Linked DNA regions of Elephas maximus indicus. Each later gene encodes a partner of the first gene's protein in a complex. Links are inferred from orthologs where the notes say so. Each region holds a gene or a part of one and is shown in the gene's direction. Other genes may lie near its edges.

Evidence for each region.
Region 2: SMARCC2 (region 1) and DPF3 share a complex: the UniProt entries of both Homo sapiens proteins name them as parts of the BAF complex. The link is inferred for Elephas maximus indicus from reciprocal best matches to the Homo sapiens genes SMARCC2 and DPF3.
Region 3: SMARCC2 (region 1) and ACTL6B share a complex: the UniProt entries of both Homo sapiens proteins name them as parts of the BAF complex. The link is inferred for Elephas maximus indicus from reciprocal best matches to the Homo sapiens genes SMARCC2 and ACTL6B.

What each region holds. Positions count from the first base shown.
Region 1 is NC_064822.1:116,160,270-116,170,729, reverse strand, and holds the start of SMARCC2 (SWI/SNF complex subunit SMARCC2), read left to right. Parts: upstream 1-6,598; 5' UTR 6,599-6,667; coding exon 6,668-6,778; intron 6,779-8,881; coding exon 8,882-9,001; intron 9,002-9,624; coding exon 9,625-9,710; intron 9,711-10,180; coding exon 10,181-10,262; intron 10,263-10,357; coding exon 10,358-10,450; intron 10,451-10,460. UniProt on the Homo sapiens protein: Involved in transcriptional activation and repression of select genes by chromatin remodeling (alteration of DNA-nucleosome topology).
Region 2 is NC_064828.1:85,702,662-85,713,361, reverse strand, and holds the start of DPF3 (zinc finger protein DPF3), read left to right. Parts: upstream 1-6,345; coding exon 6,346-6,377; intron 6,378-10,700. Other genes in the region: non-histone chromosomal protein HMG-17-like, read left to right, coding at 5,130-5,285. UniProt on the Homo sapiens protein: Belongs to the neuron-specific chromatin remodeling complex (nBAF complex).
Region 3 is NC_064830.1:92,064,325-92,074,033, reverse strand, and holds the start of ACTL6B (actin-like protein 6B), read left to right. Parts: upstream 1-5,354; 5' UTR 5,355-5,411; coding exon 5,412-5,436; intron 5,437-5,902; coding exon 5,903-5,979; intron 5,980-6,183; coding exon 6,184-6,349; intron 6,350-6,655; coding exon 6,656-6,756; intron 6,757-9,709. UniProt on the Homo sapiens protein: Involved in transcriptional activation and repression of select genes by chromatin remodeling (alteration of DNA-nucleosome topology).

The sequences.
Region 1 (10,460 bases):
AAAATGCTTTTGGGTAAAAAAAAAAATCTGGGGCCCACCAGTTTGCAACCTCTGTGTAGACTGAGATCATAGCATGAACAAAAATGAGTGAAGTGGAGGATAATGTTGAAGAGGGAAGATAATAGTGTAATCGGGAACTCAGTTTGTTGAAGTAGTGGAAGATAAGACCAGGGATAATTTGGGGCCAGTTCTTGGAAGGCCTTGAATGTGTGGTAGAGAATTTGGACTTTTATCTTGCGGGTTTTTAGGAAGAGAAAGGACTTATAACTTGTAATTCTGGTGGCATTGTGAAGAGAGGAAGAAACTGGTGGGAATTCTATCAGTAAGCTTTGCAGTAATTCATGCAAGAGAGGGCTTGAACTGAAATAGAGCAGGAAAGGACGAGATGGGGGGAAAAACTGGTAGGTCTTACTCATTAAATTGAGTCAGCCAACAATTATAGCACAGCTGTCATGTGCTGGGCATGGTGCTAGGCATTCTTCCAAGTAAGAAACTTGCAGAGTAAGACATAGTAGGTGACATACACTTTAATAAATAATGAGAAATATAGAATAATTTGTTGCTAATAGATATGGACCGAGTGTAATGGGACAATGAGGAGGAAAGTGGTTAACCACCTGGTAAGATGCAGGAGGGAAGGCTTCTTAGAAAAATCAGTGGAGCTGAGTTCTGAACAGCATTGGACATTGGCAGTAAAGGAGGTAATGCCAACTGAACATTTATTGTGAGTCAGGCACTATCCTAAGTATTAAACATTAACTTAGACATCCCAACAACTTTTTATAAAGAGGTACTATTATCCCCATTTTCTATGTGGGGACAAAAGTCATATAGTTAATAATCAGAACTGGGAAACCCAGAAGGCCATTGCTGAGTCTTAGCTTGTAATCACTGCACATGACAATGGGCACACAACCAGTGATGAATCACAGGTGAAGACCGGTGTTTCTGGTCTGTGTGGATAAGAAGATGGTGTCATTAACCTGACAGGGAGAAGAGGAGCAGGTTTTGGGGGTGAAGTAATGAGCTCATTTGGGGAACACTGAGTTGGAAGTGTTTAGCCAGAAATGGAGAACAGTCTGGAGCTTAAGACCAAGAAGTTCAGACTAACAATGTGGACATGGGAGCTGTCTGCCCAGACGTGATCAAGAAACTTTAGGAGTAAACACGAACACTAGAGGAGAAGGCTAAGGTTAGGACCTTGGATTTCCAGAAGTAATCTCGAACAAAACCTAGAAAGTAGATGTATGATAAAGTTAGCTAATGTTGTTTCAAGTTTTTTTTTTAAGTAATTTTGAAGTAATGAATCATTGACATGTGGCTCATAAACTAGCTATGAAGGAGTTCCAGAAACGTTTTGTGTAATGACATCACTCCCTGGAACAAGTGTAGGTGGAGAACATTTCAGTCACAAGTCCTCTAATGATTTGCTTTACAGGATAAACTGCAGAAATCCAAGCCTCTTAAAATTTGGAACAAGTCAACAACCTGGAAGGGGATAATATTAAATTCTTGTTAGATTCCCCTCATGTCAGCTTTTTTTATACTAGTCACGTAAAAGCTGAAAAGATCATTATGGGGTGGCATTAGCTAGTTGCTTATAAAGGTGAGGAGAAAGAAGGCAGGAATTAGGCCATCATATGGAAATGACCAGCCTGATTATGCAGGTATCTGACTGGGAAGAATTAAGAAATTAGGTGAGGGGAAATGGGTAACTTTGGTTAGGCAGGGTATGTTGGTGAAAGGAATTTGTGTTTGATCAGATGGGGAGCTGAAGTTCCTGGGCAGGGGAATAATATGACGAAACCAGTGTTTTAGAGCAATCGCACCAGTTAGTATAGGGTGGATTTAAGTGATGAAACTGGGGCACCTTAAAGGTCATTGTAACAAAGACATGAATTAAGATGAAACAATAATTGGTGAGTGATAGGCACAGGAGAAAAGAAAATGTCAGATAATTCTTAAGGTTAAACACTAGAAGAAACTGAGAGAAGAAAGGGTTCAATAGAAATGGAAAAGTTGAAAATGTGATTCTGGGAGAGAAAGAGAAGTTTTGCTTTCATTTTAGGTGACAGTAGGCCAGCTCTGCAGACACACAGGCAACAGGAGATACAGGATCATGGTTTGGCTGAGAGGTCATGCCTGGAAAGGTGGCTTGAGATATTAGGAGAAGGGAGAAGAATGGAGCTTTGGCAGACTTCACAAGAGGGAGAAAATAAATGAGGCAGAGAAGCAGTGTCCTGAGGAGAAAATAAAATGTCTTTGAGGCCTAATGAGAGATTTTTAAAAGAAATTATTTCAAACATAGGAAAAGATCGAGAAGACTATTGGATTTGGTTGATGGTTTCTATTAATGTCTAAAAATTTTCAGGAGGCAGAAACCAGATGACAGGGTATTAAGGTTGCACGGAGCTGGAGGCACAGCATATTTTATTTGAAAAGGTAAAGTAGACAACAACGTGGTGATTTGGAAGTGTCAAGTGGAGGTGGGGTTTTGTTCTGAATTCATGAAAGCTTAAATTAGCAGAGCAGGAGAATTTGAAGGTGTTATGAGAAGAATGGTTATGGAAGCTTCCTTAGGAGATTGAAATGAGCAGGAGTGCAAAGTGGAGAAGATAACTTTAGGGCAGATAAGGCCAAATACTGTACACCAGGAACTAAAGAATGCCAGTGAGTGGAATGTAGTAAATATGTAAGAGTGGTGAGAGAAAGGGGGTGAGATCATGCAACACAACGATACAGGGATAGAGGATTTGCTGGGGTGGAAGGGAAAGGGGGAAGGAGTCGTGGGTGGGCCAGGGGAGTCAAAAAAATTTAAAATTATCTATTGTATATGAAGGGAGAGGTGTTGGCCTCTAATCTCCAGAAGTTACAGAGGAAGTACATGAGAGTGAAAGGGAGAGTCTCCAAGTAACAACCTATGCCAGACTCTCCTTCCCCATCCAGATCCTCCATTTTGTAAGCCATGGATTCCTCCTTTCTCTCTGCACAACAGCATTATTGGTTGCCCTCTGCTGGTCAGTTTTGGTATTGGCTCTCCAGGTATTTAAATCTGAGTGCATGCACAAAAAGAGATTTGCTAGGAAGTAGAATACTGAGTTTATTACTACTACTGAGCCTATTAATTCACTCAGTACATATTACATCATATCTATGTATAAGGCCATTTAGATGAGATACAAAGAAAATATAAAGCCTCAAAAAGCTTATAATCTAGTCTGAGTCAAGATTAAAACATGTACACGTAATTCTCAGTTCACTGTACTGTGGTGGCTTACATGCTGCTATAATGCTGTAAGCTACACCACTGGTATTTCAAATACTAGCAGGGTCACCCATGGTGGACAAGTTTCAGCAGAGCTTCCAGATTAAGACATTGGGAAGAAAGGTCTGGAGGTCTGCTGCTGAAAATTAGCCAATGAAAACCTCATGGATCACAACAGAACACTGTCCAACTCACTTGCTTTGGACATGTCATCATGAAGGATCAATTGCTAGAGGATGATGTTTGGTGAAGTCGTGAAATAGAGGGCCAACAAGGGTATAAGAGACCCTTGGTGAGATGGATTGGCACAACAGCTGCAAGGATGGATTCAAACATGCTGGCTGTTGTAAGGATGACACAGGACTGGGCAACATTTGTTTGTTGCACATGGGGTCGCCATGAGTCGGAGGGGACAGCAACTAACAACAACAACATGTAACTACTGTAAAAAAATCCATTTATTCAACAGTTTTTTAATTGAATGGCTTATATGTGCCAGAGTTTATAGTCTACCGTTGCATTCCACCGGGGAAAAAAGACTTTAAATAATAGGGCATAGGATGTGATAAGCATAGGTAGTCCGGAGAACCAACATTTAAGTGGAGACTGAGTAGAAGGTGAGGATGAGAAAAAGCATTTCAGGCAGAGAACAGTGTGAACAAAGCCATGTACCAGGAACTTAAAGAATGCCAGTAGCCCTCACAATTATCCTTACTTCCAGATAAAGGCCCAGAGAGGTTAAGTATCTTGCTCTAGTAAGTGGTGGGCCCAGCCTACAAGCACTCTTAAGTGGACAGACCTGAGACATATTTAATCAAACCCAAAACCAAGTCCACTGCCATTGGGTTGGTTCCAACTCATAGCGACCCTATAACGACAGGGTAGAACTGCCTCATGGAGTTTCCAAAGCTGTAAATCTTTATGGAAGCTGACTGCCACATCTTTCTCCCACAGAGCAGCTGGTGGGTTTGAACCACCAACCTTTTGGTTAACATCTGAGCCTTTAACCACTGCACCATGAGGGCGTCTGTTGAGAGATATTTAGAAAGTAGGATATACAGACTTCAGACAGAGCCCTGGTGGTGCAGTACTTAAGAACTAGGCTGCTAACCAAAAAGTTGGCAGTTCAAATCCACCAGGCACTCTCTGGAAACTGTGGGGCAGTTCTACTCTGTCCTATATGGTTCCTATGAGTCAGAATCGACTAGAGGAAAATGGGTTTGTTTTTTTGGTATGTCCATACGTATTTATTTTGCAGAGGTCTGTCAAGCGAGATGTCCTGCAGGCAACTCATTGCATGGTGGTGGTACCTGTTAAACCCATTGCCGTGGAGTTGATTCTGACTCATAGTTACCCTATAAGGACAGAGGAGAACTGCCCCCTTAGGAGTGCCTGGTGGATTCAGAACTGCTCACCTTTTGGTTAGCAGCTGTAGCACTTAACCACCACACCACCAGGGTTTCCTATGGTGGTGGTGGACTGATTACAGCTGGAGTGATCAGGAGTATCAGAGAGGAGGGGCTTAAAGAATGTGTAGGATTTTGGAAAGTGATCCTGGAAAGAACGGCATGAGCAAAGGTATGAAGGTGAGAGGCTCCGAAGTATAAATGTGTAGAAAGTTCTATGAGTTATCCTTGAACGCCTTGCCTTGCGGAGACCCTTCCTAAAGATGATGCTGTTATGCAGGAAATAAATATATAAAAAGCACACCCTCAATGAGCTCTTTCCCACAATCAGAAATTAGGGGATAGGAACAGCAGGGTAAGGTGAGTGCAGGATGGTTAGAGATTTGAGAAGAGATTAATGCCCTCGCTTGGTTAATACACATTTAGAACAGTGCCTAGCACATACTGAGCACTCAATAAAAAGCAACAGTTATCTTCCAGCACCCTGGCTAGATCTGCAGTGTTTATGTTTCAATAGGCTACTCCCTCCTAGCCCTGTGATGCCTGAAGTACACTTCCTCAAGGAAATCTAAATGAAAGAATGCCCTGTTTCCTGGGTCCTCGGTGTAATCAGACCCACAACGCACAAGGTGTGATTTCTGGTCATGAAATTCAGAGGTGCCCTCTTTTCCTGGAAATCCAGGTTTAACAATCATTACAAAATAGGCACTCACACACATTCCCAAACAAAACTGAAACAACCCTTCTTTATCCAAATCCTTTTTTATCCCCCCCCCTCAGGAAAATGAAACGCTTTGCTAGCAAACCTGGTTATAGAATTCTGAAAGTGCCTTGCAGCCTAGCAGCCAACGCAGTTGTGCATAAATTTAGCTTCCCGTAAGCCCCCATCCCCCAAATCCAGGGGTGAAACCTTTCAGCTTCCTTTTTCGAGAGGGAAAGGGAAATGCAAGAAAGACATGTGCGGGGACTGGGGCTCCCTTAACATGTCGTGGAAAAAAAAAAAAAAAAAAAAAAGCGCCGCCGTCACGAACAGGATTCGAACCTGTGCGGGGAAACCCCATTGGATTTCGAGTCCAACGCCTTAACCACTCGGCCACCGTGACTCCCAAAACCGCGCTCCGCCGTGCGCTTACAGAAGGGGTCCGCATTGCGACCGGGGAAGAACTGCAGTGAGAAGTGGGACCCCGACCCATCCACACACCCCCTATATCCCTCCGGCTCCTTACCTCTCCTCTCCGCCACTCAAAGGAAAAGGGTCGGTGGACGGGCTGATAAGGAAGGTCTCCCGCCTAGCGAAGAGTCAGGGTCTCAAGGAGCGCAAACCTGCTTAGGAGGCGATGGCGAGGCCTGAAGAGGAAGCGGTTGGAGGGAAGGGACTGGGCCCCCACGGTGGCGGCTAGGGGACTCCTCGGGCTAAGGAGTAAGAGAAAGGTCCCGGAACAAGGTGTTAGGGGTGAGAACCTCTGGAAGAGTTTAAAGGGGAGTTCCTGGGGATGGATGGAAGGAATGTATTGTGGAAAGGGGTTTGGAGTTCTTTGGGATTATGGACTCTGGGGTTACGGATGTGCAAGGAAGGAGAGGACAACTCCAGGCTGGGATTCCTCAGGCGACGTCCTAGAAGTAGGTTAGAGACGTACCCCATCCCTCGAGCTGAGGCAAAAGAGAGAAAGGGCTTCGCGTCAGGTAAGGGGCGTTTTCAGGAGAGTGGACGCCCCCTCCAGGAAGCAGCCGCTTCCCAGGAGGCCCCCGACGCTGCTGCCGCCGCCGCCGCTGCCGCCGGGGAGGCCGCCGGGTCTGGCCCGGCGCAGAGCCTCTCCGCCGCCGCCGCGCCCGGCCGGCCGGCAGGGGGCGCTGCGCGGGCCGGGGCCGGCCCAGGCGGCGGGAGGCGGCGGCCGCGGCGGCGGGAGGCGGCGGGAGGCGGGCGGAGGAGGAGGCGGAGGAGGCGGGAGCTGAGCTGAGCGGGGCGGACGGCGGCGGCGGGCCCGAGCCCGAGAAGATGGCGGTGCGGAAGAAGGACGGCGGCCCCAACGTGAAGTACTACGAGGCCGCGGACACCGTGACCCAGTTCGACAACGTGCGGCTCTGGCTCGGCAAGAACTACAAGAAGGTACGCGGCCCGGACAGGCAGGGCCGCGCGGGAGCCGGGGGCGGGACAAAGGCGCTGCGACCCCGCAGTCCCCCGGGCTCCTGCCCACCCTCCTGCCGCCCCCGGCCCCTCCCCCGCGACCTCCGAGCAGCTCAGCGCGCCCTCCGCCCCGCCCGGCGCCCCGCGCCCCTCCCCCAGCCCATTTTACCCCCACCCCCAGCCTCGGATTCCAGCCCCCGCCCCTACTGCTGCGCCCTCTACCCCTTGTTTTTCTCTGCTGCCCCGGCGGGCCCCGGTGCAAGCAGACCACCCGCTCTTAAGCCACCGGCTTCCCGCTTTTCTGGGAGAGAGGCCCGGGGGGAGGGGGAGGGGGCGGACGGGGCACCCAGTGGGCGCCCCCCTAACGCGCCCGCCACAGTGCCGGCCAGAGCTCCCCACGGAGCCAGGTACCAGGAGGGCTGAGGCCTCCCTGGTGCTTTGTGTGTGTTCAGAGATGATGAAAGCAGGAGCGTGAACAGCCACAGAGCAGGCCCCTGGCTGATCATCGGCCTGAAATAAGGCCCCCATCTGGGGATCACCTGTCTCCACCGCTCATCCCCCAGCCTCCATCTAAGAGGCACCAAAACCTCTTTGGGAACCAGGGTATAGGAGTTTCTAGGGAGCGGCCTCTAAAACCATTCCTTGGCTTCACAGTGAAGGCATCCAGCATCTAGCCTTGCATTGCCATGGGTTTGGAGTTCAGAGGCTAGGACAAGCCTTATAACTAGCCTCCCACCATCAACCCCATGAGTGAAGATAATAAAGTAGTGAACAAAGGACTCAAGAAGCCTTACCTGTCCTGTTAGCAAACCTTTTCCTAGTGTCTTCTTTGTCTTTGGGCCTGGTAAAAGGAACGTTTACATATAGGGTGTTTCGCTGGAGATGGTCTTTGCCTCCTGTCTTTCCCATTACCCCCAATTAGGGCTCTCTTTCTACTTTCCAACTCTTCCTGTCCAGCCTTGCAGCCTGTCAGAAGTGTGATGGGTAGACTTCCCCTCTGATCCTGGCTATGAGTCTGGCCCTGTTCTCAGGGTCTCCCTGGGTGTCGGAATTCTGACAAACAGCTGCTGGGTCTGTTTGTGGCCTGTCTGCACCTCGGTGTGAGGCTCTGGTTCCCAGGCTTCTACCTTTGACCTTTTGGAAGAAAGATCAGGCTAGGAGCTTTTAGTCTGTGGCCCTGGAGGAATTGACAGTCTGTGACCTGGTTCAGCTTTCATGCTCTTAGCTCTTTGTTATTTACCTTTTCCTTCACTGATCTCTTTACACCTCCTACTGAGAGGAGTTCTAGTCTCTGTGCTTAGGGTTCAGGAAACAAGGGTCAAAAGGTAAGAGAAAGTTAACCTCTGGATCGGCTTCAACTAGGACAGAAAGGCTAGGATGCTAGACAGTGTAGTATGGAAATGTTTAAGTAGTCCCACGTTTGTTTTTGTCAGATATATTTTCCTCAGAAAGGAAAGATACCGTCTTGGTGTTCCCCACCAGGCAAGTGCTGGTCCTTCCCATCAAGGAGGGCCTACACCAAGCCTCGAAGACATTTGTGCCCAGTTCCTATTACAATCAAAACATACAAGCTTTTTCTCAGTCTTCTTGCCCTACCTCACTTCCTTGTGTCTTTCTCATTAGGCTAATTTTAGGGGGGAGTCTTGACCTTCCACAAAATCCCTCCAAGAAATAACACTGTGGTCATGTTTAGTGAGCCCTGTAGGCATTGCTTCCATGGCCTGAGCTCCATAAACCTTCAGTTATTTTACAACCCTCTGTGTTGTTGGCTAGAAATCAGGTGCCACGATAACAGGGTCCTGCAAATCATATTTCAGGATATAGCTGAGGGAAGAGTAGGAAGCTTCCTTCACTCCCAGCACCCAACACTGGCAATCTGTGCTGGTGGCAGCAGAATTTCATCTTCCTGGTTTGGGATGTCCAGGGCCTCCTTTCTGCTGTTTTCTTTACCGAGACTAGACATCTGGCGAGGAGAGCACTATTTTCTCAGCTCCAGATGCTTCCAGAGCACCTGTGGAAGAATCTGGGAGATGGTGGACCTTTTATCTAAGGTCATTTTCCTTTTCTTTCCTTCTCTTTCCTCAGTATATACAAGCTGAACCACCCACCAACAAGTCTCTGTCTAGCCTGGTTGTACAGTTGCTACAATTTCAGGAAGAAGTTTTTGGCAAACATGTCAGCAATGCACCACTCACTAAACTGCCGGTGAGTGCAAAACCAAGGGGGCAAATCCTCCAAACTGGAGAGGGGGTTGTATCTTTTGCATATTTGTAAATTTCCGGATTTTTGAGATCTGGGTAATTTACTGCCATACCTGCCCCTAGTTAGGGTATTACAGGCTTGACCTAGTCCCCAAGTTACCATTCCCTTTGTCTTAATAATACTTTGGGCAACAGGTTATCTCAGAGCATCTTGGCTCAATCCACGAAACCCTCATGGCATGGCTAAAAGTGTATGAGGTTTGGATTTGCACAGGCTGGTGTTCAGATCCTGGCTCTGCCACTTGATGTCTTAGTGGTCTTGGGCAAGCCACTTAACCTTTCTGAGTCTTGGTTTCTTCATCTCCAGATGAGAGTAATAATAGCTACCTTGTAGGGTTTCTGTAATGGTCAGTGAGGTAACCTAGTGAAGTGTTTGGCACAAGATGGTGCTTTGTGAATATTGGGTTCTTTCCCTTCCCTCTTCCAAGCCACATGATACAATGGTTAAAGAATTCCAGTTTTGAGAAGGAGATCAGTCCAGCATGGGGTAGAAGGAAAGGATTGTTAGGTGATAAGAGAATTTAGGATGTAACTCTCACATACTTCTTCCCTGTCTCAATTTTATAGATCAAATGTTTCCTAGATTTCAAAGCAGGAGGTTCCCTGTGCCACATACTTGCAGCTGCCTACAAATTCAAGAGTGACCAGGGATGGTGAGATGCCTTCTCTATGCTTCTTCCATCTAGTTTAGAGGGAATCCGCCTTTATAATTCTCTGGGGCCTTTTGGGGGCTGGGAAGGCATAGGCAAAAATTCTTGTGAGTCTCTCACTTTGCTAGGTCAGTATGCCTGAGTTAGAAGGTCAGAAAAATGGCTGAGAATCAGAGGCAAAATAGTCTCCAAGAGTGAGTGAGTATATGTGTGTGTGTGTGTATGTATGTGTGTGTGTCAGTGTGTATATTGTAGAGGGAAAGAAATTCTTAGGTTGGCATCTCAGTTTTTCTTTGTCCTTTTGGACTAAGCACAGGGTGATTCAAGGAGTTGAGCTCAGTGAACCCCAGATCCCAGGTCATATTGGCAAAAGCAAGATCACCTCCCAGTTTCCCATGTTAAGAAGTTGTATACTCAAACCTCGTCCCCAAACCTGAGCTATACCACTCACTAGATTATTGCCCCTTTACAAGGCGGCGTTACGATTTCCAGAATCCATCACGCATGGACCGCAACGTGGAGATGTTCATGACCATTGAGAAGTCCTTGGTACAGGTAATAGTCAAGAACACTCCGCATCTCTCTTCCTTCCCTCTGTGAGAAACACCCTTTCCCCATAATCTCTTCCCTTCTGTTTCTCCTCTCCACAGAATAACTGCCTGTCTCGACCTAACATTTTTCTGTGCCCAGAAATTGAGCCCAAACTGCTAGGGAAATTAAAGGACATTATCAAGAGACACCAGGTGAGTAGGT
Region 2 (10,700 bases), on another chromosome or scaffold:
CGCCAGACACTCCTTGGAAACTCTATGGGGTAGTTCTACTCTGTCCTAAAGGGTCACTATGAGTCGGAATCAACTCGATGGTAGTGGTTTGGCTTTTGGTTTTGGGGTTATTTTTGGTGTGGAAAGCCTTTCATCCCTTGGCTCATTTCTAAAGGTTAAATTAAATGTGAGCATCTCCGTGAAGTCTTAAACAAATAAACAATCAATCAAAAAGAAAAACAAAAAAACCCAACGTGTTGAGGTGGAGTTGATTCCAGCTCATAGCAACCTTATAAGACAGAGAACTACCTCAAAGGTTTCCAAGGCTGTGATCTTTACAGAAGCAGACTGCCATGGCTTTTTCCCTCAGAATAGCTGGTGGGTTTGAACTGCAGACCTTTCGGTTAGCAGCCGAGTGCTTTAACCACAGTGCAGCCAGGGCTCCTTCAAGAAGTCTTACCCTTCTCCAGTGTTAGAAGGGTAACATTGCTTCCTCTGCTGAGATTCTTTGACATATATCACTTCTCCCTTGTTTTATATTAATTTATAAAAATCCTGTTACCTTGAAACTTTGAAAACTCAAACGAATGAACCTCTGCTGGTGTTCACAGTAGGCACTCAAACACCCAAGAATGTGTCCATTGGGAAGATGGGCACCAAGCCAGGAAAAGGAGAAAAGCTGGAGAGGCCGCTTTCCTTTTTAAGTTTCGTCAAGTAATTGCTCTGCTTGCTTGTAGGGTTGAGCCTACTATCTTTATTCTCTCTCCAGATGGATGGGGAGAGCTTCTTGAGGGTTGTTTCCATGTCTGGGTTATTTTTGTTTCGCCACCTGTGCCTAGCACAATGCCTCCCTCATAGAAAGCCTCCAATGGATGAATGAATGAATGAACTAAGTTAGTGGAAACAGCAAACATTGCTTTCTATTTCTGACTCTCCCCAGAGATATGTGGCTTCAGAGGCCTGGCCCTGGGAGCATCACCCAGACCTGGAACTTGACATCTTTGTTTTTCTGTGTTTAGAGATACTGTGAAGGGAGTGAGAACCCCTGCCCCCACAGCGCCAAGAAGACAGAAAATCAGGCTCTGTGCATATTTAATTTTTATTGACATTTCAGCCACTCTTACATGTACGATTCAGGGACATTCATTATGTTCTCATGCAGGCTGTGGCTTTGATGCCCTCTTTTCTTCAAAAGAGTTCCTCTTCAGCTCAGAGTCTAGAATGTCCCAGAGCTGGTTCTGGACCTCAGGGAACCAGCCATGGCCAACCAGCTGCTATGGACACGACTGATTGTTCTGTGGATGGATGGAGGGATTGAGGGTGAGCTTGGTCTTATTTTTCAAATACCCACTGGACTCGAGACTCCTTCAGCTCTCAGAGCCCACCAGAAATTGCATTTATTTCAGATGGCTTTTGTGGGCATACTTCCTCTTTCAAATGAACTCTTTGGGTGTTTGTGAGGCCTTTGTCTCCTTTCTCATATTTATCTTTGAAAAGTCAGCTGGAAAGGTCAGCACTTGCTACACAAGTGCCATTCTTCTATATTTCTGGATGGGCATCTCCTCGTAGCTTTGATTGTCTTCGGAAACAGCCTTCAACTTTTTAGGAGTAAACCGAGATGGGTGCCCCTGTGGTTCAGATGCTTGGGTCCTCAGTCACAACCCAAATGTTCCTTTGGATGGGTGCACTGAACACATACTTGAGCTGAGTGAGGGAGTTTTGCTAATTGACACGAAGGATGAATTTGAGAAGGCTACAAGGGTGAAGGTGGCTGGGTAGCTTAAATGGTTAAGTGCTTAACTACTAACCGAAGGTTTGGTGGTTCGAATCCATCCAGAGGCACTTTGGAAGACAGGCCTGGTGATCTGCTTCTGAAAGATCACAGTCTTGATGACCCCATGGAGCAGTTCTATTCTGCACACATGAGGCCACCATGATGACAACTAATAACGACACAGGGTGAACTAATATGATTGAGAAAGGCCCATAATTCTTTCCTTGGTCATACACACTGTGTAGAGCAGCTCTATTTGATAAAAATATGGTGTGAGCCATGTGTGTAATTTTTTATTTTCTAGTATCCACATTAAAAAAAAGTGAAAAGAGGTGAAATAGGCTTTTATATTTTAACCCAGTATATATAAAAAATTAGCACGTCACCATGTACTCAATATAAAAATTATTTATGAGGTATTTTACTTTCTTTTCTGTACTAAGTCTATGAAATCCAGTGTGTATTTCACATTTATATTGTTGTTGTTAGCTACCATTGAGTCAGTCCCCAACCTATGGTGACCCCATGCATAACTGAGCAAAATGCTAGCCAGTCCTGCTCTATCCCCACGATCGGCTGCAGCTCAGACTGTTGTGATCCATAAGGTTTTCGATGGCTGATTTTTGGAAGTAGATCGCCAGGCCTTTCTTCCTAGTCACCTTAATCAGGAAGCTCCAGTGAAACCTGTTCAGCATTGTAACAACACATCGTAAGCCTCCGCTGACAGACGGGGTGGCTATGCAAGAGGTGCATAGGCTGGGAACTGAACCCCAATCTTGCTCACGTCAGGTGAGAATTCTACCACTGAAATCACTCCTGCCCCCATTTTACATTGATAACACATCTCAATTCAGACTAGCTGCATTTCAAGGGCTCGATAGCCACATGTGGCTAGTGGTGCCCATATTGGACAGCACAGAACTAGACTCTCCAAGTGAAACAGGAAAGTGGTTATTCTGTACTAGATCTGCCCTCCAAATTAAGCTACCTAAACTAAATACAGATGAAAGGGCTGTGGTGGGAAGGAGTGTGTAAATGACTATCAACAGAACTTTAAAAATGCAGTTTAAAAAGTGTTCTGATAGTCTAATTAGCAAGAGGACATTTTTAAGTTTAAGTTCTATGACCCCTAACTGAAAAATTTCTGTTTATTATTTTTTTCTCATCAGAATGTTCATTTGCTCATCTTGCTTAGACCAATGAGTTCAAAAAAACAAACTTAGTGAACAGTTTCACCTCCTGTTGTGCCCTTTTATTCAGATACCCTACATTCCTATGCCATCAGGAAATGATTAATATCTATGGGTGGGTATATAAAAATAATGGAAACCCTGGTGGCATAGTGGTTAAGTGCTACGGCTGCTAACCAAAGGGTCAGCAGTTCGAATCCGCCAGGCGCTCCTTGGAAACTCTATGGGGCAGTTCTACTCTGTCCTATAGGGTCACTATGAGTCGGAATCGACTCGACGGCACTGGGGTGGGTATATAAAAATAATAGTCGACATTTATGGAGAGAGCCGCCCGAAGTAGGTTCTATTATTATCGCCACTTTTCAGATGAGGAAGCTAAGACCTTACAGTTGCTAAGTAAGCTTACCCGGGATAACCCAGCCGATGAGTGGTGGACTCAGGCAGGCAGATTCCAGAGCTCACACTCCTAGCCCTACACAGCCCTCCTTCACAAAACTAATGTAAAATTTTACATTCTCCAAAATTGTTCAAGGCTTTTTTCACCTTTCAACATGTCCACTAAGCCCTCTTGCTTTTCAGAATTCTGGTAAAAACATGTTTTTGTGGGAGAGGTCCGTACATTTTAAGGCCTATTTGGGAAACTGGCAGATGGAAACTGCCTTATGGGAGAGAGATCTTGATCTACAAGATGAAAACCAAAGTTAAAGATCCCAGGGTGGTACACACGGTTAAGCACTCAGCTACTAACTGAAAGGTTGGCTGTTTGAACCCACCCAGATGTGCCTTGGAGGACAGACCTGGCAATCTGCTCTCAAAAAGGTCACAAACTTAAAAACCCTGTGGAGCAGTTCTGCTGTGCACACACGGGTTGCCATGAATCAGAATCAATATGACGGCAACCAGCAACCACATCTATCCTAGAGAAACACAGTAAAATATACACAAAGAGATCTGTTAAAAAAAAAAAAAGTTAAAAATAATAACTCTTACAGGTCTTAGAACTGATAAAAGATGAATTCACAATTCTGTTTATTTAAAAGTCATACCTGCATTGACAGTTAAAATGACATTCCCTTGGGTAACAAAAAGCAAGGATATCCTACTTCTAAAAAAAAATCCTACCGTTGTTAATTCATGATTCTTTTCAATTCAATCATGAAATGTAACTTAAATGTTTAAGCTCTGGGTTAAACATTTTTTCAAAATGAAGGCGGATCTGGTCTGCCATTTTCAAGTGTGCCGGGTAGTTAGGAATTATGTTGGTTTCTGCAGCTGGGCCTTAACAGAACCAACTATATGCACATGCTCAGAGTATATACTTGCCATGTAGATTTTGTTTTTCTTTACTTTTTCCATTCAATTGGAAGTCCAGTTCAGGGCAGACTCTACACCTCCTGCCTTTATACAGCTGGATAGATTAAAATATGCTGTTTTTTAATCCAAATTGTTGTGGTTTCAATCCGAATCAAAGAGATTGGTGGGAGTTATAACTGTTAATTCAAACTCACTGAGAAGACTGAACTTCTTACATCAGAGTATATAGTACTGGTTTTTAATGATGTCAAGGCCCATTCCAGGCAAAGTATAAACTTTTGAACTAAGCCCTTGGCAAATTAATAAGGAAGAGATTTTTCAAACTTGAATTTGAGAAGACAACTTTTTCAGACTGTAATCTCTTCTAAGATGCTGTACAAAAAGTCACAAATGCATCCGTGTAATTTTACTATTAACTAGTAAGAAAAAACAAAAACCAAATTGTTGCCGTCAAGTAGATTTTGACTCATATCGACCCTATAAGACAGAGTAGAACTGCCCCCCAGGGTTTCCAAGGAGCGGCTGGTGGATTCGAACTAAGGACCTTTTGGTTAGTAGCATAACTCTTAACCACAGGGCCACCAGGGCTCCAGTCAGAAAGAAGGAAGTTAAAATATTTCAAGTCTATTACAAACATACTGATTCAGCCATTTCTATTCATCTGTAACTCTAATAGTGTATGGAACTGAACTCTGAAAGTTCTGGAAGGTTTATTTTAATTTTTAATTCACTGCTTTGAGAGGAGCCCTGAGAAAGGAAGTGAGAGGGCACAGCTTTAAAGAACCGGCAATTTGGCATCTCCTCAGCCCCCTTGTCGCCCCTCCCCCACTATTTTAGCTACTTGACCTGATTAAACAGCTTTGGGACTGTAGCCAGACTTCTGTATGCTAACGAGGCCCCTGCCCTATTCACGATTTAGTGCGATTTCATCCACCCGGAGCTTCCAGGCTGCCCAGTCTGAGCCTGACTTCTCAGAAGTCTCCCAGTTTTGTCAGAGGCTCGCCAGTGAGGAGTTCACACCAACTTGAAGCAGACAGGGACTCTCTGAACGCCTCAGGCCACACCGGATTATTCATTAGCAAATTCTTTTCGCCTTCTATCTAAATAGGAAAGGTGACGCCTGAATCGCCTGTGCCACTCCCGGAAAGGGACTCTAGGTCTACAACACCCAATCTACAGTCTACAACTCGTCTTCAAGTTACTTGCTTTCCAGGCAGCAGAAGGCGTTTCCAAAAGTTTCCCTAAACCTCCCTTACCCCTAAGCCTAAAGGTCACAGCGCCAGGTCCTCCTCAACTCTCCAACCGGCTGGAATGTGATCATTTCAGAAGTTTCTGGTGTAGGGGGAGAACAGAAAGGGTGGTAGTGGGGAACCGCGCAGTGTGACCACCGCGCGTTATGTAACGGAAGCCCTGGCTGCAGGAGTGAGCAAGCCTGACATTGAAACATTCCAGGGGGAGGGGAGTTGCTGTCCGGGAGTCGCCAGGAACAGCAGAGGCAGTTGTAAGACACTGAGAGAGGAAGGTGGCCGAGCTAAAGAAACCATTTTGGGTATTGGAATATTAAAAAACCGCAGGTCTCAGAGTATTAGCAAACGGCAAGACACGTGTAGTAATTTGACAAAACGGGAGCCTTCCAACTTTTGCACGGGAACGAGTAGATTTGCCCTTTGGGGGATTAAAATTAGCCAAGCCAAAAGCTAATGGATGAGGTTCAGTAGTTTGTTCGCAGTATTTAAATAGTTATGCTCAGGAGCGCAAACTCTCCGCAGTTATTTAGAAAAGCGGCGACTTAATCCAAACTACAATACTCTACCGAGTGCGTCTCGACTTTCCCCAATCCGAAAAGGAGTTGCTCGCGCGGTACTGCCCCTTTAAGACCTGCTCGCTCTCCGGCTCTACAAAAGGGAGTGACCTCTGGGCTTTGACAGCTCCCCTAATAACTACCACCGCGCAGGCCCCGCCCACCTGGCGGCCAGCCGCGCCGATTGGCCGGCGGGCCGGTATCCCGTGCTCTGATTGGCCTGCCGCTTCCCCTGAGCGAACCTTTAGAACTCTGAGACAGACAATATTCTGTTACATTGTAGCAAAATGGCGACTGTCATTCACAACCCCCTGAAAGCGTAAGTAAGACCAAAAAATGTACATATTCCGCGTGGTTTCAGTATGAAAAAAAAGGCGCCTTCTCCGTGCGGAGCGCTGCCAACGCACTGCGCTTGCAGGCGCCTCCAGCCGCGGCAGGGCTTCTCTCTTTTCTTTCCGCTCTGACTTCTTCATCTTTTTTTTTTTTTTCCCCTACGCGTAGAAATGTCAGGAGATGCAATTAACAAGAAGAAAACTGTTACATTTGTGTTTTGCTTAATTGGTGGACAGAGCGAGAGGGGGGTGATCGGTAGGGGAGCCAAGCGCCCGCGCGCTCGACAGCTAGGGGGATTGTGGGCAGCGAGGGGACGGCAGGTACCCCGGGTCCCCTACTGAGCGGGGCGGCAAGTGCGTAGCTGGGGGAGGCCGAGCTGGGGGCGCGAGCCGGGCAGTGGCCGCCTCGGTGCACTTGGCTGCGCCCCACGCCTCCGGAGCCGGCGGCCCCCGCCTGGCTGCTCCGTCCCCTCGGGCCAGCGGACCGCGGCGGCTCCGGAGTTTGCAGGGCGCTCTCTGCCTTCCGATCGCTCGCGGGGAGTTTGTGCAAACCTTCCGGAGTTGGGAGGACCGCGGGGGAAGCCGCAGGTCCCGGGAGCTCTGGGGCCCAGGTGGCTGCCTGGGGCTTTCCTGCGGGGCCGCCCCCGGAGCATGACGGCGCTCCGGGCAGTCGCGGGCGCGTTTGCGTATGTGTTTGTGGGCGAACTGGCTGTAGTAAATTAATGACTCGGGTTGACTTGGGGTTGATTCGGAGGCCGGGAAGCTGCAGGTCTTAGGAATGGTGTTCTCATCTCCTCTGGGTGAAAAGGCGAGGCGGGCGGAGAGGCGGCTCCGGGCTCCCCGCCCCAGCAGGCAGCGTTTACTCCCGGCCAGAGCGAGGGGCAGGTGCCTCTGGCCGCCGCCGAGAGACTTTGTGCAGACGCCCAGATCCGGGACGGAGGGGGCGGGCTGGGCAAGGGCACGCGGGGGCCAGTCCCCGGGTTCGACAGTTAATTCCTGCCTGCCTTCCTTCCTCCCCCTCTTCATCCTGGCTTCCTTCCTTCCTTCCAGTCGGTCGAACTGTTAAGCCGCCAAGTCCGCTTGCGATCATCGAGCCGGGGGTGGCCTCGAGAACTAGCGTCGCTCTTAAAAGGGTGCTGTTGGAGGCTCCCTCGGGTTCCTAGCGCGACGTGGGTTCGGGGTCCGTGCGCATTTGATCAGGACTTCGGCGCCCGGCTGGAACCCGCCAGCGAGGGGAGGGGGGGTGCGAGTGGGGGCGCTTCGTGTTCAATTCTCTCTTGTGCGCGGCCGAAGCGGACCCCGGTTCTTTCAACTCCGCGCATCAGCGTCCGCTCCCCCCGCCCCCCCCCGGGGCTCCTCACGGAGTTAAAAGCCAGGTTCCTACCGGGGGGGTCATAGGGGGGCTCCTAAAGCGAAGAAACGCTCGGGGAGAATCGGTCGTGTTTGCACCAGCTTATCTCCCACTAGCAATAAGGAAAAGGGGTAGGAATGTCCCATGTCTAGGAGTTTAAAATATATATATTGAGTGCGGCCGTTAAGAGGACTTTGGAAGCTGAAGCTGATCCGAGAGGACCTCTCGGCCTCGGTTCTTGCACGGAAGCTTGGATATACGGCTCTTGAACGTTACAGCGTTTCACCCAAGAAAGAAAATGTTTTATGGCAGAATAAATGCGCGTAACTTCGCCGCATCCACGCTCCTCGCCTGCGCGGCTACGCAGCTGATGCTGGGAGTTTCTACCAAATCCACAGCAGATTTGCAGTTTTCCCATTTCCAGCTGAACTCACATAGCGGGGCTGATACCACCTGGTAAACTCAAGTTAGAGAAATCTGTTTCACATGTGCACCGTGTTGGTTTCCTATTGGAAAAGCGGTGCTCTTGTTACCCCGGAGCCCGCTTGCTTACGCGCGGGCGCAATATTTCCCGGTTCCGCGGTTCCCCCTGCTTGCTCTAGTTTTTTTTTTTTTTGACCACTGGATGGTGTGTGTTTTGAGGGGGGGGTGTCTGTGTTGGGGTAACGTTAGGGGTGGAAAAAGGGACGGAGAGGCGGGAAGAGGGTAGCCGAATTCCGGCTGATCAATGGAATTAGTTCTGAATTATTATACTCGTACTTTGTGTAATTAGAAACAGTTGCAATGTGATGTATTTGTAATTCTGTGTCTCGACACACGCGCACATTCTCGCATACACACAACACCCCTGCCTGCTTTTTCTAGGTGGGAGTTGCATCCCAACCCCTTTCCCTGGGGGTGAGGGAGTGTAAACAATGCCGGGACCAGTCTAGCCTCCTGCACCCTGGACGCTTTTTAAACTCCTAACGCCAAGAGCACACACGCTATCATTGGGAGACCGACACCATCTGCCTGTATTTTTTTCAAAAGCAACTTGTTTAATAAAACATCTTATATATTTCATTTGTTTTTAAAAGTTGCTGATCAGGAAATAATACACACGTGAATCAATTATGCATGGGATAAATTAGAACAAAGCGTAGAGCCCGAGCCACATCAATCGGAGGGGATGGATTGCAGTGCTGGGAGGAGGGGGAGCGGGGAGAATGGTTTGGAGAGCTCTGTTTTTATCCTCACGTGTCCCTCCTGACAATGAAACGGAGCTGAACGACATTAGCATTTTCTCTGTGCGTTGTGAGTCTGTCTCCCCCTCCCTTAAAAAAAAAAAAAGCCAACATCACCGACGCCCCCTACAGAAGCTGGTTACACAAAGGTTTCCTCTGGGATTGGAGGATAAAGTGGTGGTTGGTAAATGTGCTGGGAAGAAACAAGCTCAGGTTTCATGCAACACCTCTGTAGGGCTCTTTTTACCCTGAGTATGGGCCATTTTTTCATTATACTAGCTTTGTGCATGTGGGACATTCAATAATTCAATGGCTGGGGTAACTGGATGACACTGTTTGGGTCTCCTTGCTTTGGGGTCTTCCTTAGGGCCCTAATGTCCTGAAGCCACATCTCCTGTTTTAGCAGTTTGGCTTTCTTCCTGCCTGTCTTTGATCGCCCTTCAACTCCTTTTTTTATTCTTCCTTGTTGTACCCGTCTTCACCTTCCCCTCTGAAGCTGACAGCCTACCTTCTCCCTCTGTTGTTGCCTTTAACATCTTATTACAGCGCAACAGGGTGTTAGAGGCAGAAACTGGAGCTGCCTAGGCTGATAAGATCACAAAGGGGACTCCGCAGGTGGCCCCACAACTGAGCAGTCACATCTGGACAAATAGAATTTAAAAAATTGATGGGCATGTGTGATGTGTAAATGTATATTACACATTATTTAATTTAGCAGCTACATTGTCTAATCCTAGATGTGTGAGACCCTTATTTCCTACACACATATGCATGATAAGGGCTGTGTAGTGAAGCAAACACATGCAGGTAACATAAATAAGGATTTGATATAGCACTTTGTGTCAATCACATCGTATATTCGTATTCTCACTGCCTTCTCCATTAAGGAGCCTTAATGCTTTTTAATATAAATTCTAATCTTATTTAATATTCCAGTTCAGATAAATCAGCTTTCAGCACTTTAAGCAACTTACTCTTTTATTAAGTTATCAAAACCCTGGTTTGTATGCACTTAACTGGGAATGTCTGCCACCTTCTGCCAGACTTGATTATGCATGTATGTATCTATTATTGTAACTGCCTGCTTAGAAAAAGAATAACGGTTATTATTATTTAATTATTCTATATAGACCAAAAGGGCTTTACCCCAGATAACTATTTATTTATAGAGAATAACACCAGTAAACGAATTTGGCATGCTTTTAACTGTGACTATACATATACATAATTGTATTTTGAACTCGCTTTCCTAAACATTTAACCTTGCTTGGAGGTATGTGTTCTTATCCCTGTTTTGTAATCAAGGACACAACTCTGGGAGAAATAAATATACTTACTTAAAAGTATAAAAAAGTATAGCTAAGGTTAAACAGGGTCCTGTGTGTAGATGGACCTCAAATCTTCATCTCTTAACACATCCTATGATTGGAATACAGTTTATTCTAATCTAAGTGGTTCTGTGCATGTGAAAGTTGTTTAATTGACACCACTTAGAAGCCAGACCCCACTCGTGCTCTGACATTCTGTTTAGATACCAGAGAGTAAGGGGTAGGGGACACATTCCAAGTTTTAATCTCTACTTAGCTCCTTCTGTTGGGGGCAGGAACATGTGGGTAGGTACTAAGTGGGGAACATTGGGGTATGAACTTCGTGAACTTGTAACTTTTTATGGACATACTCCTGGCCCCTTATGAAAAAGGACCCTCAGACTTTAAGCCAACAGATATCTAAGAATG
Region 3 (9,709 bases), on another chromosome or scaffold:
AACACCACTAACTTTTACTCAGAAGTTGGCCAGATGCAAGAAAGGCTGGAAAATGTAATATCTAGCCATGTACCTAGCTAAAACATTAATAAAGAAAGAAGGACAGAGGTATTAGAGTAAGGCTAGCAGTCTTTCCTTGGAGAATAAATCCTGTCAATGCTACCTCTTAAGTATTAAATCCATCATTTCTGCGCATGCCACATACCTTGGTTTTTGCCTGTTTCTTTCTGATCAACCTTCCAAATTGTTGCCAGAGATATATTTCTAAAATGCAAATTGGGTCATATAACTTTCCCATTCAAAACCGTGTAGTAGAAGGCCAAAGCCTCTTTATGGGACACACAGACTTGGTCTTGTTCCCCCTATTCAGAATGCCTTCCACCCCCACTCCAACACCACTTCCTTATCAGCTGGAAAAATTCAGGTCATTTCCCCAGGCTTCTTTTAAATATTGCCTCTTCTGTGAAGCACTCCTTAACTTCACTGTTATTGGTGCCCCTCTGCAATGCTGGCTTCATTCCTATTGCAGCCTTTATTTATTCCTGGGCATTTGCCACCTGCACTAGGCCAGGGGCTCCCTGAGAAGCCAAGGAACTTGGTTTACCTGGCAGATGGCTGGGTGAGAGTTCGACAAGCAATGGTCAGGTCCCCACAAGATGCCAACTCATTTCTAAGCTGTAGGATCAGAGGGCCTGTTCCTGCCACCTTGGAATCATTACCAGGGGCTCAGGTTCAGCCAGTCTGAATGCGGGCATGAAATGTGAGAATCTCCAGCTGACTTTATTGAATTAATTGTTTCATCATCCATCTTCCTGGATAAACAATAAACTCTATGGATCAAGTTTTATGAGCCATTTTATTCCCAGTGCCTATTTTTTTTATCGGGTACATAGGAAACCCTGGTGGCATAGTGGTTGAGAGCTATGGCTGCTAACCAAAAGGTCGGCAGTTTGGATCCACCAGGCACTCCTTGGAAACTATGGGGCAGTTCTACTCTGTCCTATAGGGTTGCTATGAGTTGGAACTGACTTGATGGCAACGGGTTTGGTTAACGGGTTATCATTACATAGGGAACATTTATGGAATGAATAAAAGCATGACAACATTTGCCCCAGGGTAAGCATTTTTCACATGCTTTGGTTCAAATCCCAGCTCTGGCACTTACCAGATGGGTAACCTTAGGCAAGTCACTTAACCTCGCTACACTTCTGTTTCCCCAGCTGAAAATGGGTATAATAATTAGGCCGTTATTAGGATTAAATGTCTTATTATTTGCAAAGCATTTATCTTATTCGATCTGTATGCTGAGAAAGTAATCCGAGAAGCTGAACTATATGAAGAAGAATGCTGCATCAGAAGTGGAGAAAAACAGCATTAACAACCTGCAATATGCAGATGACACAACCTTGCTTGCAGAAAGCAAAGAGAACTTGAAGCACTTACTGAAGAAGATCAAAGACTACACCCTTCAGTATGGATTGCATCTCAACATAAAGAAAACAAAAACCCTCACAACTGGACTAATAAGCAATATCATGATAAACAGAGAAAAGATTGAAGTTGTCAAGGATTTCATTTTACTTGGATCTACAATCAACACCCATGGAAGCAGCAGTCAAGAAATCAAAAGATGCATTGCATTGGGCAACTCTGCTGCAAAAGACCTCTTTAAAGTGTGGAAAAGTAAGGATGTCACTTTGAGCAATAAGATGCACCTGACCCAAGCCATGGTATTTTCAATTACCTTATATGCATCTGAAAGCTGGACAATGAATAAGGAAGACCAAACAAGAATTGACACCTTCGAATTGTGCTGTTGTCAAAGAATATTGAATACACCATGAACTGCAAGAAGAACAAACACATCTGTCTTGGAAGAAGTACAACCAGAATGCTCCTTAGAAGCAAGAGTGGCAAGACTTTGTCTCACATACTTTGAACATGTTATGAGGAAGGACCAGTCCTTGGAGAAGGACATCATGCTTGGTATAGCAGAGGGTCAATGAAAAAGAGGAAGACTCTCATCATGGATTGAATTGTGTTCCCCCAAAATGTGTGTCAACTTGACTAGGCCATGATTCCCAGTATTGTGTGATTGTCTACCACTTTGTCATCTGATGTGATTTTCCTAGGTGTTTTAAATCCTACCTTTATGATGTTAATGAAATGGGATTAGCAACAGTTACTTTAATGAGGCAAGACTCAATTTAAAAGATTAGATTGTGTCTTAAGTCAATCTCTTTTGAGATATAAGAGGAGTGAGCAGAGAGACAGGGGGCTCATATACCAAGAAAGCAGCCCCAGAGCAGAATGTGTCCTTTGGACCTGGGATTCCTGTGCCGAGAAGCTTCTAGACCAGAGGAAAATTGATGACAAGGACTTTTCCTCGTGAGAAAGAACCTTGCTCCAAAGAAAGCCTTCTCCTGGAGCTGGCACCTTAACTCAAACTTGTAGACTCCTGGACTTTGAGAGAATAAAATTATGTTTGTTAAAGCCATCCACTTGTGGTATTTAGTTAGAGCAGCCCAAGATAACTCAGCCAGCCCTCAGTGAGATGGATTGACACAGTGGCTGCAACAATGGGCTCAAACATAGCAATGATTGTGAGGTGGCACAGGACCAGGCAGTGTTTTGTTCTGTTGTACGTAGGGTTGTTATGAGTTGAAATCAACTAGATGGCACCTAACAACAACCATAACCTTGGTCAAGTCACTTAACCTCTCCATACCTCTGTTTCCCCATCTGCAAAATGGGGATAATAATCACGTTATGAGGATTAAATGACTTATTGTTTGTAAAGTGTTTATAACAGTGCCTGGCACATAGTAGATGCTTTGAATTTGCTAAATAAAGGAGCTGACCTCTGATTACTTTTCCAATCTCATTCCCCACTGATGCTACTTTCTCCCACCAACTCATATCCAACCCTCCTTCTAAACTGAGCTCCTAACTATTCCCACATAAACCCTTATGTCAGAAATATTCATGTCTCAGCACTTTTGCACATGCCATTACCTGCATAGTTCATGATTCACTTCAAACTTCACTTCTAGAAGCCTTTCTGGACTCTCAGAGACAGTCCCTCCATCCTCTAGGCCTCTGTTGCACCTCATTTTCATTCATGTCTGAGCTCCCCATTGCACCAAGACTCTCTGAGAGCAAGAATCTATCTTATGTACCTCAGTATTCTCACACCTAGCATGTTCCCTGGAACACAGTCAGCATAAAAAAATGTTTGTTGAATCAATGAATGAACAAATTAAATACACTAACTACCTTCACCTTAAACACCTCCATAATAGAGTAGAATCTCATGTCAGATCCCATGACAAATGAAAACTGGCTACAGTTGACAGGGACATAAACCAATTCAGTCCTATACTTAGAAGACTGTAGCTTTTTCACCAGCCTTGAGAATAAAATTCTCTTCTCATTACCAGAGAGTCTAAAGACTTCTAACTTATGCGTTATAATATTAAAGCCTCAAAATCTCCCCAGGGACATTCTGAAGACCCAGTCTTTATGGAGTAGTCCTGTCGCCCTACTCTTAGCCAGACACTTGACTATGGTATCACATTGAGTCCTCACCACCAGGTGTTCTACAATGGAGGACAATGAAGCTTGAAGAGGAACACAGAGTTGTTATGAAACAAGGTCTTCTCTCAACTGGCTGATAAGAGGATCTAGATTCTAGTCCTGGCTCTGCGCCCAGTGAGCTGTGGGACCAAGACAAGGCCCTGCCACTATCTGAAGAAACCCCTGTAAAATCCACAGATTGGATCAATGATCACTAAAATTTCTCCCAATTGGGGCAATTTCTGAATCTGGGGGTGGGCGTGGTGCAGGGGAATTGAAAAGGTGAACTCACATGGGAGGTGAAGCAACACCATTGTCAACAGGCCATGCAGGCCATGAATCAAATTCTTTGGTGTTCTTTACTCCTCACTTCAACACTTTGAAAGATGAAGAAATGCAGGCTCTAAGAGGTTTAGGGGCTCATTCAATTCATACAGGCCTCAATTTATAGAGAGGCCAATGATTGGCCAGGGTCACTCAGGAGAGTCTCAATCTCCCAGCTCCTGGGTCAGTGCCTTCTCCCCTACATCTGACCCTTCCCACTGCAGACTGGACCCCTCCAAGCCTGGTGATCCAGACCTGGGCCTGCAACCAATCCAGGGCACATAAGATGTCACTGTTACCAGTAGGGAGCCACTAAGCCAGCTGAGATCAAATGTCCTTCTGGTGGGGAAAGGTAAGACCTCTTCCAGAGTGGGTGTCTGGTGAGCAGAAACTTCAGGGGCATTGTGGCAGTCACACAATTCCCTCTCTCTGTCATCTCCGGTCTTAACGTTCCCCCCGCCAACAAGCAGATGGAAAGGCCCTCAATGCACATGTATACGCATGCACATAAGTACACACATACACACACGTATGCACGTGCACACATATACCAACACACATAAACATGGACATACAAGCACACAGCTACACACAAATGATCATACAAGAGTCTCTGGCTAACCCAGGCTGTCAGCACTGCTCCTTCCCTTCACTATTAAAATCACTGTGGAGGTGGTGTCATGCCAGGAGCCCAGAAGAGGCTAGAAACCTCCCAGTAGAAAACCAACTTGCTTAATAAATGCCTCCAGAGCAGAACAACGGGCTGAAGAGAGAAGCCTTGGGAAAGGAAGCTAAGGCTGGATTAGCTGAGGTCCTATGTGTGAGTGGGTATGTGTGTGTATGCACACGTGTATGCGTGTGTACGCATGTGTATGTGTGTGTACACATGTGCATGTGTGAGGCCCAGGCATCAGAGAACAGGGGAGAAAAAGAGAAAGCCATCAGAAAGACAGGGGTGGAAAGACACTGGGAAAGGACGAAGACACGCACCACCCCCCCCCCCGCCCCCGTACCTCTTTCCCTTCTTCTTCCCTCCCCTCCCTCTCCCTCGATTTCTCTCAGGCCTGGGCTTTGCGGACCAGAGCTCTGGAGCAAGACGGTGGACGACTCTCCAGGACTATGGCGCCCTCTTCCCCTGTCCCCTTTAAACAAATAAAGGAGCAGGGGCCCCACCAGTCACCCACCGGAGTGCTGGTCTCCGAATGGGCGGGGTGTCCATCTCTTTACTACTGTGTGGGCCTATCTCTTATGGTCGGTCTCTGCACCCTCGCTGTTCCCCTACCTCCTCCCCTCAGCCAGATGTTGAGGAGTCTGCCCCTTTAAAGCAGCGGCCCCCGGCGGGGTTATTGTCTTGCTTAGCAGCCAATCGGCGGCGCCGTTGGGGGCGGGGGATCTGGCCCTCCGATTGGCCGCCTCACGCCCCGCCCCCGCCCGGGATCCCGGGAGCTGTCCGGACGCCTCGGTGCTGATCCCGCCGCCGCCCACGGGCCGCGAGCTGCTGAGAGGGCACTATGAGCGGGGGCGTCTACGGCGGAGGTGAGCGAGTCTCGGGCTTGGGGCTTTCCAGTCCGGCGCGGCCTCGCCCGCAGCCCTGAGGCCCGAACCTGCGCGACCCAAGCTCCAGGCACCCTGGGGCCTGTCAACTCGACGCTCGAGAGGGCCCAGCCCAGGGCTTGGGTCCCATGCCACCCCTGCCTTTAGTCCTTCCCGGACGCCTCTCGCTCTCCGGGCCAAACTCTCTACCATTCAACCCACCTCTTCAGGGACCCCAGCCCCTTCCTTCCCCGCCAAAGACAGTGGCCTGAAGAAGGCCACTCAGCAAGACGGGATTCTGGCTGGCTTGACTCCCACTCTCAGCACCCTGGATTCCAGGCTGAGCTCCCACCTGCCCCTGCGCGGGATGAAGGTGGCGAGACTGTGGCTCTGCCCTGACCTCCTCTCGGAGGTGTCCAGGCAAGAGAGTTTGGAGGAGGCCCCCTCACAAGCCTGTCTCCTCGCACAGATGAGGTGGGGGCGCTGGTCTTTGACATTGGCTCCTTCTCAGTCCGCGCTGGGTACGCTGGGGAGGACTGCCCCAAGGTGAGTCTTCCAGCTCCCTTCCCAAATCCTAGGGGCTCCGGACTCCCCTCCAGGCTTTACAGTGACCTAGGGCTCTCACAGACTCGCAGAGAAGCTCTGCAGAGGGAAATGTGGGCGTAAACCTCTGGCGGGCTGAGGGCCTTGCAGTGGGGCAGGACCAGGGCAACAGGGTGATCCTTCTCCCTGCCCATCCTCCCCCCTCAGGCTGACTTCCCCACCACGGTGGGGCTGCTGGCCGCGGAGGAGGGGGGCGGGCTGGAGCTGGAGGGGGAGAAAGAGAAGAAAGGGAAGATCTTCCACATAGACACCAACGCCCTGCACGTGCCTCGGGATGGAGCGGAGGTCATGTCGCCCCTCAAGAACGGCATGAGTAAGGGGCCCCACCCACTGCCTCCCAACACAGACCCGGAGCTCACTCCCCACGGCCCGGGACACAGCACCCACACCCACGGAGTACTCCTTACAGCTGCCCAAGTCCCAGTGACCCCTCACTGTTTCCCACAGCTGCCTGGTTCCCAAACCAGGGGCTGCCAGATTCCTGGGAAAGAGGCTTTTCTGCCGGAACTGGTCCCACTTCCCTTCCCCTGGACTTGGCTTCCTTCCCTCCTCTTTCCTTCCGGTCCTCTGACCGCTGCTTGCCCTCCACTGTCTCTCCACGCTGTTCTCCTGGCCCCAGTCGAGGACTGGGAGTGCTTCCGTGCCATCCTGGATCACACCTACAGCAAACACGTCAAGTCTGAGCCAAATCTGCACCCAGTGCTCATGTCCGAGGCGCCGGTAAGTGCCTCGTCCAGCTCCTAGTCGGGCCCTGAGACCCAGGCGCTTCCTTTCCGCCATTCAGCTGTCACCTCAAGTTGCCCCCATCAATCAAGCCACCTCCTCCCTTTTTAGGCTTTCCTTCCAACCCCATAGATCTTCAACCATTTTTCTTCCTTACTGCCTTAGTCTTCATTTCTCCTCATCCCGTGCTCTATCCACTTGCCCTTCCCCCAACCAGCCTTATCTGCGGCCCTTTCCCCACCAAAAGTCCTTTTTTGAACTTTTAACTTAATTTTTTTTAATTTTGATTGTGTTTTAATTGAAAGTTTACAAATCAACTCAGTCTCTCACACAAAAACTTATATACACCTTGCTATTTTTTTACGTACTCCCAATTGCTCTCGCCCTAAGGAGACAGCCAGCTCCGTCCCTCCACTCTCTTTTTTGCGACCATTTCACCAGCTTCTAAAACCCTCTACCCTCTCATCTCCCCTCCAGGCAGGAAATGCCAACATAATCTCAAGTGCCCATCTGATCCAAGAAGCTCACTCCTCACCAGCATCCCTCTCCAACCCTTTGTCCAGTCTGATCCCTGTCTGAAGAGTTGGCTTTGGGAATGGTTCCTGTCCTGGGCCAACATTAACTTAATATTTTTGTCAACCTTATGTATGCTCATAAAGAGTCAGTTTGCTTCATAAAGTATGTTAAGAAGAAAACTGTAGTTCCTTCCATTTCTGCTTTTCCAACGGGCATAGCTTTTATCTCATTTAGCTAAGTCTTTTGGTATTTCCTTTCATATCTCTAAATATCATGGTTAAATTGCTGCTTGTGAATATTTTTTTTTTAGTTTTAGACATTATCTATGAGCTTCCCACTACAGGAAATTAGTATTTACTTCTCTTTCCTTCCCCAACCCACACCACACACATTTCTCATTCCCCACCTTTATATATAGTTGTATTTTAGTTTTTTTTTTTAAGGTCAATATTCAGTGTTTACACTTTATTACAATGTATGGTAATAAGGATTGGGACAGGCAATAAACCATGATTATTTTTCCTTTCCTGAAAAACTTTTTGTTTTTTCTAGAACTGAAAATTGTCTTGGTTTTTATTTTCCTTAGTTTTTAATCTACTTATTAATAACATGTCCCTAAATTATTCATCAGTAATCTGTAACTCCTCTCAAGACATTAATTCCATTAGGTAGTCTATCAATTTCATCATCTGGAAGACATCTCTCCAGGAGCCCATTGACCTGCTCCACTTTGGACTAGTAACCCTTTACACATGGGACATAGGTGTCATCCTGGCATCTTTCTTCACCATCATTTTGAGGAATTCTTTTTCTTCTTTCCTGTAGTAGAGGTCCATTTTCTGTATCCCATGATTTTTTCTCTTGATTTACTCCCTTGTTTTTATGGAGCACAACCTCCAGTAGCTTTTTTAGAAAGATCATGGGAAGTAAATTTTTTTTGATACCTTGCATGTCTGACCTTGGATTAATAGCTTGGTTAGGTATAAAACTCCAGGTTGGAAATAATTTTTCTTCAGAATCTTAACGACAACTTTCCATTATCTTTCAGCATATGTTGCTACCATTGAGAAAGCTGAAGCCATTGATTCTTGATCCTGTGATGTGATACTGTTTTCTTTCTGAAAGTTTATAGAATCTTCACTTTGTCCTCAATAGTCTATAATTTCACAGTGATATGTATTGATATGGGTCTATTTTCGTCATTGCTCTAGGCATTCAGTATGTCCCTTCAATCTGGAAACCATGTCTTTCAGTTCAGTGAAAAATCTAAAAATTACCTATTTGACGGTACATTTCTTTCAATTTCCTCTGTTCTCTCTTTTGGGAATCCTGTTACTTGGATTTTTTGCCCCCTAAACTGGTCCCATTATTATTATTTTTAATCTTTTGTCTTCTATTTTCCATCTCTTTATCTTTTTGCTCTAATTTGCAGAAGTTTCCCTAAACTTTACTTCCAACCCATCTATTCAGTTTTTCATCTCTGCTCTTGTAGTTTTCATTTCCAAGAGCTCTTTATTTCCTGTGTGTCACTTTTTTTTTTTACTGTGCTAAAAACATATATAACAAAACTTTTGCCATTTCAACATTTTTTCATGTACAATTTAATGACATTAATTATGTTATGCAACCATCACCGCTATTTGTTTCCAAGTTTTTTTCATCACCTTTAACAGAAACTGAGCTTCCCGTAAGCAATGACACCACATTTCTCCCTCCCCTCAGCCCTGGTAACCACCAATCTGTTTTCTGCCCCTATGGACTTGCTCATTCTGGATATTTCATATAAATGGATCATGTAATATGTGATCTTTCGTGTCTGACTTACTTCACTTAGCATAATGTTTTCAAAATCATCCATGGTGTGGCACGAATCAGTACTTCATTCCTTTTTATGGCTGAATAATATTCCACTGCATGTATTTACCACAATTTACTTATCCATTAATCCATTAATGAACATTTGGGTTTCCATATTTTGGCTATTGTGAATACTGCTTCAATGAAAATTGATGTACAAGGATTTGTGTTTTCAGTTCTTTTGGGTATAGGCCTAGGAGTGGAATTGCTGGGTCATAGGGCAATTCTATGTTTAGCTTTTTGAGGAGCCACCTAACTTTTCCATAGTAGGTGCACCATGTTACATTTCTACCAGCAATGTAAGAGCATTCTAATTTCTCCTCATCCTTGCCAACAATTGTTATTTTCCATGTTGTTTTTAAAATTATTATCATCACCATCCTAGTGTGAGTGGTATCTCCTTGTAGTTTTGGTTTGCATTTCCTTAATGGCGAATAATGTTGGACATCTTTTCATGTGCTTGTTGGCCATTTGAGGGTTTATGTCTTTTAAAATTGCTCCTTTACTATAATTTTGATGGGATCTTGGAAGGGAATAAAAATATGTTTTATTCAATCCACTATTTTATCCAGAAATT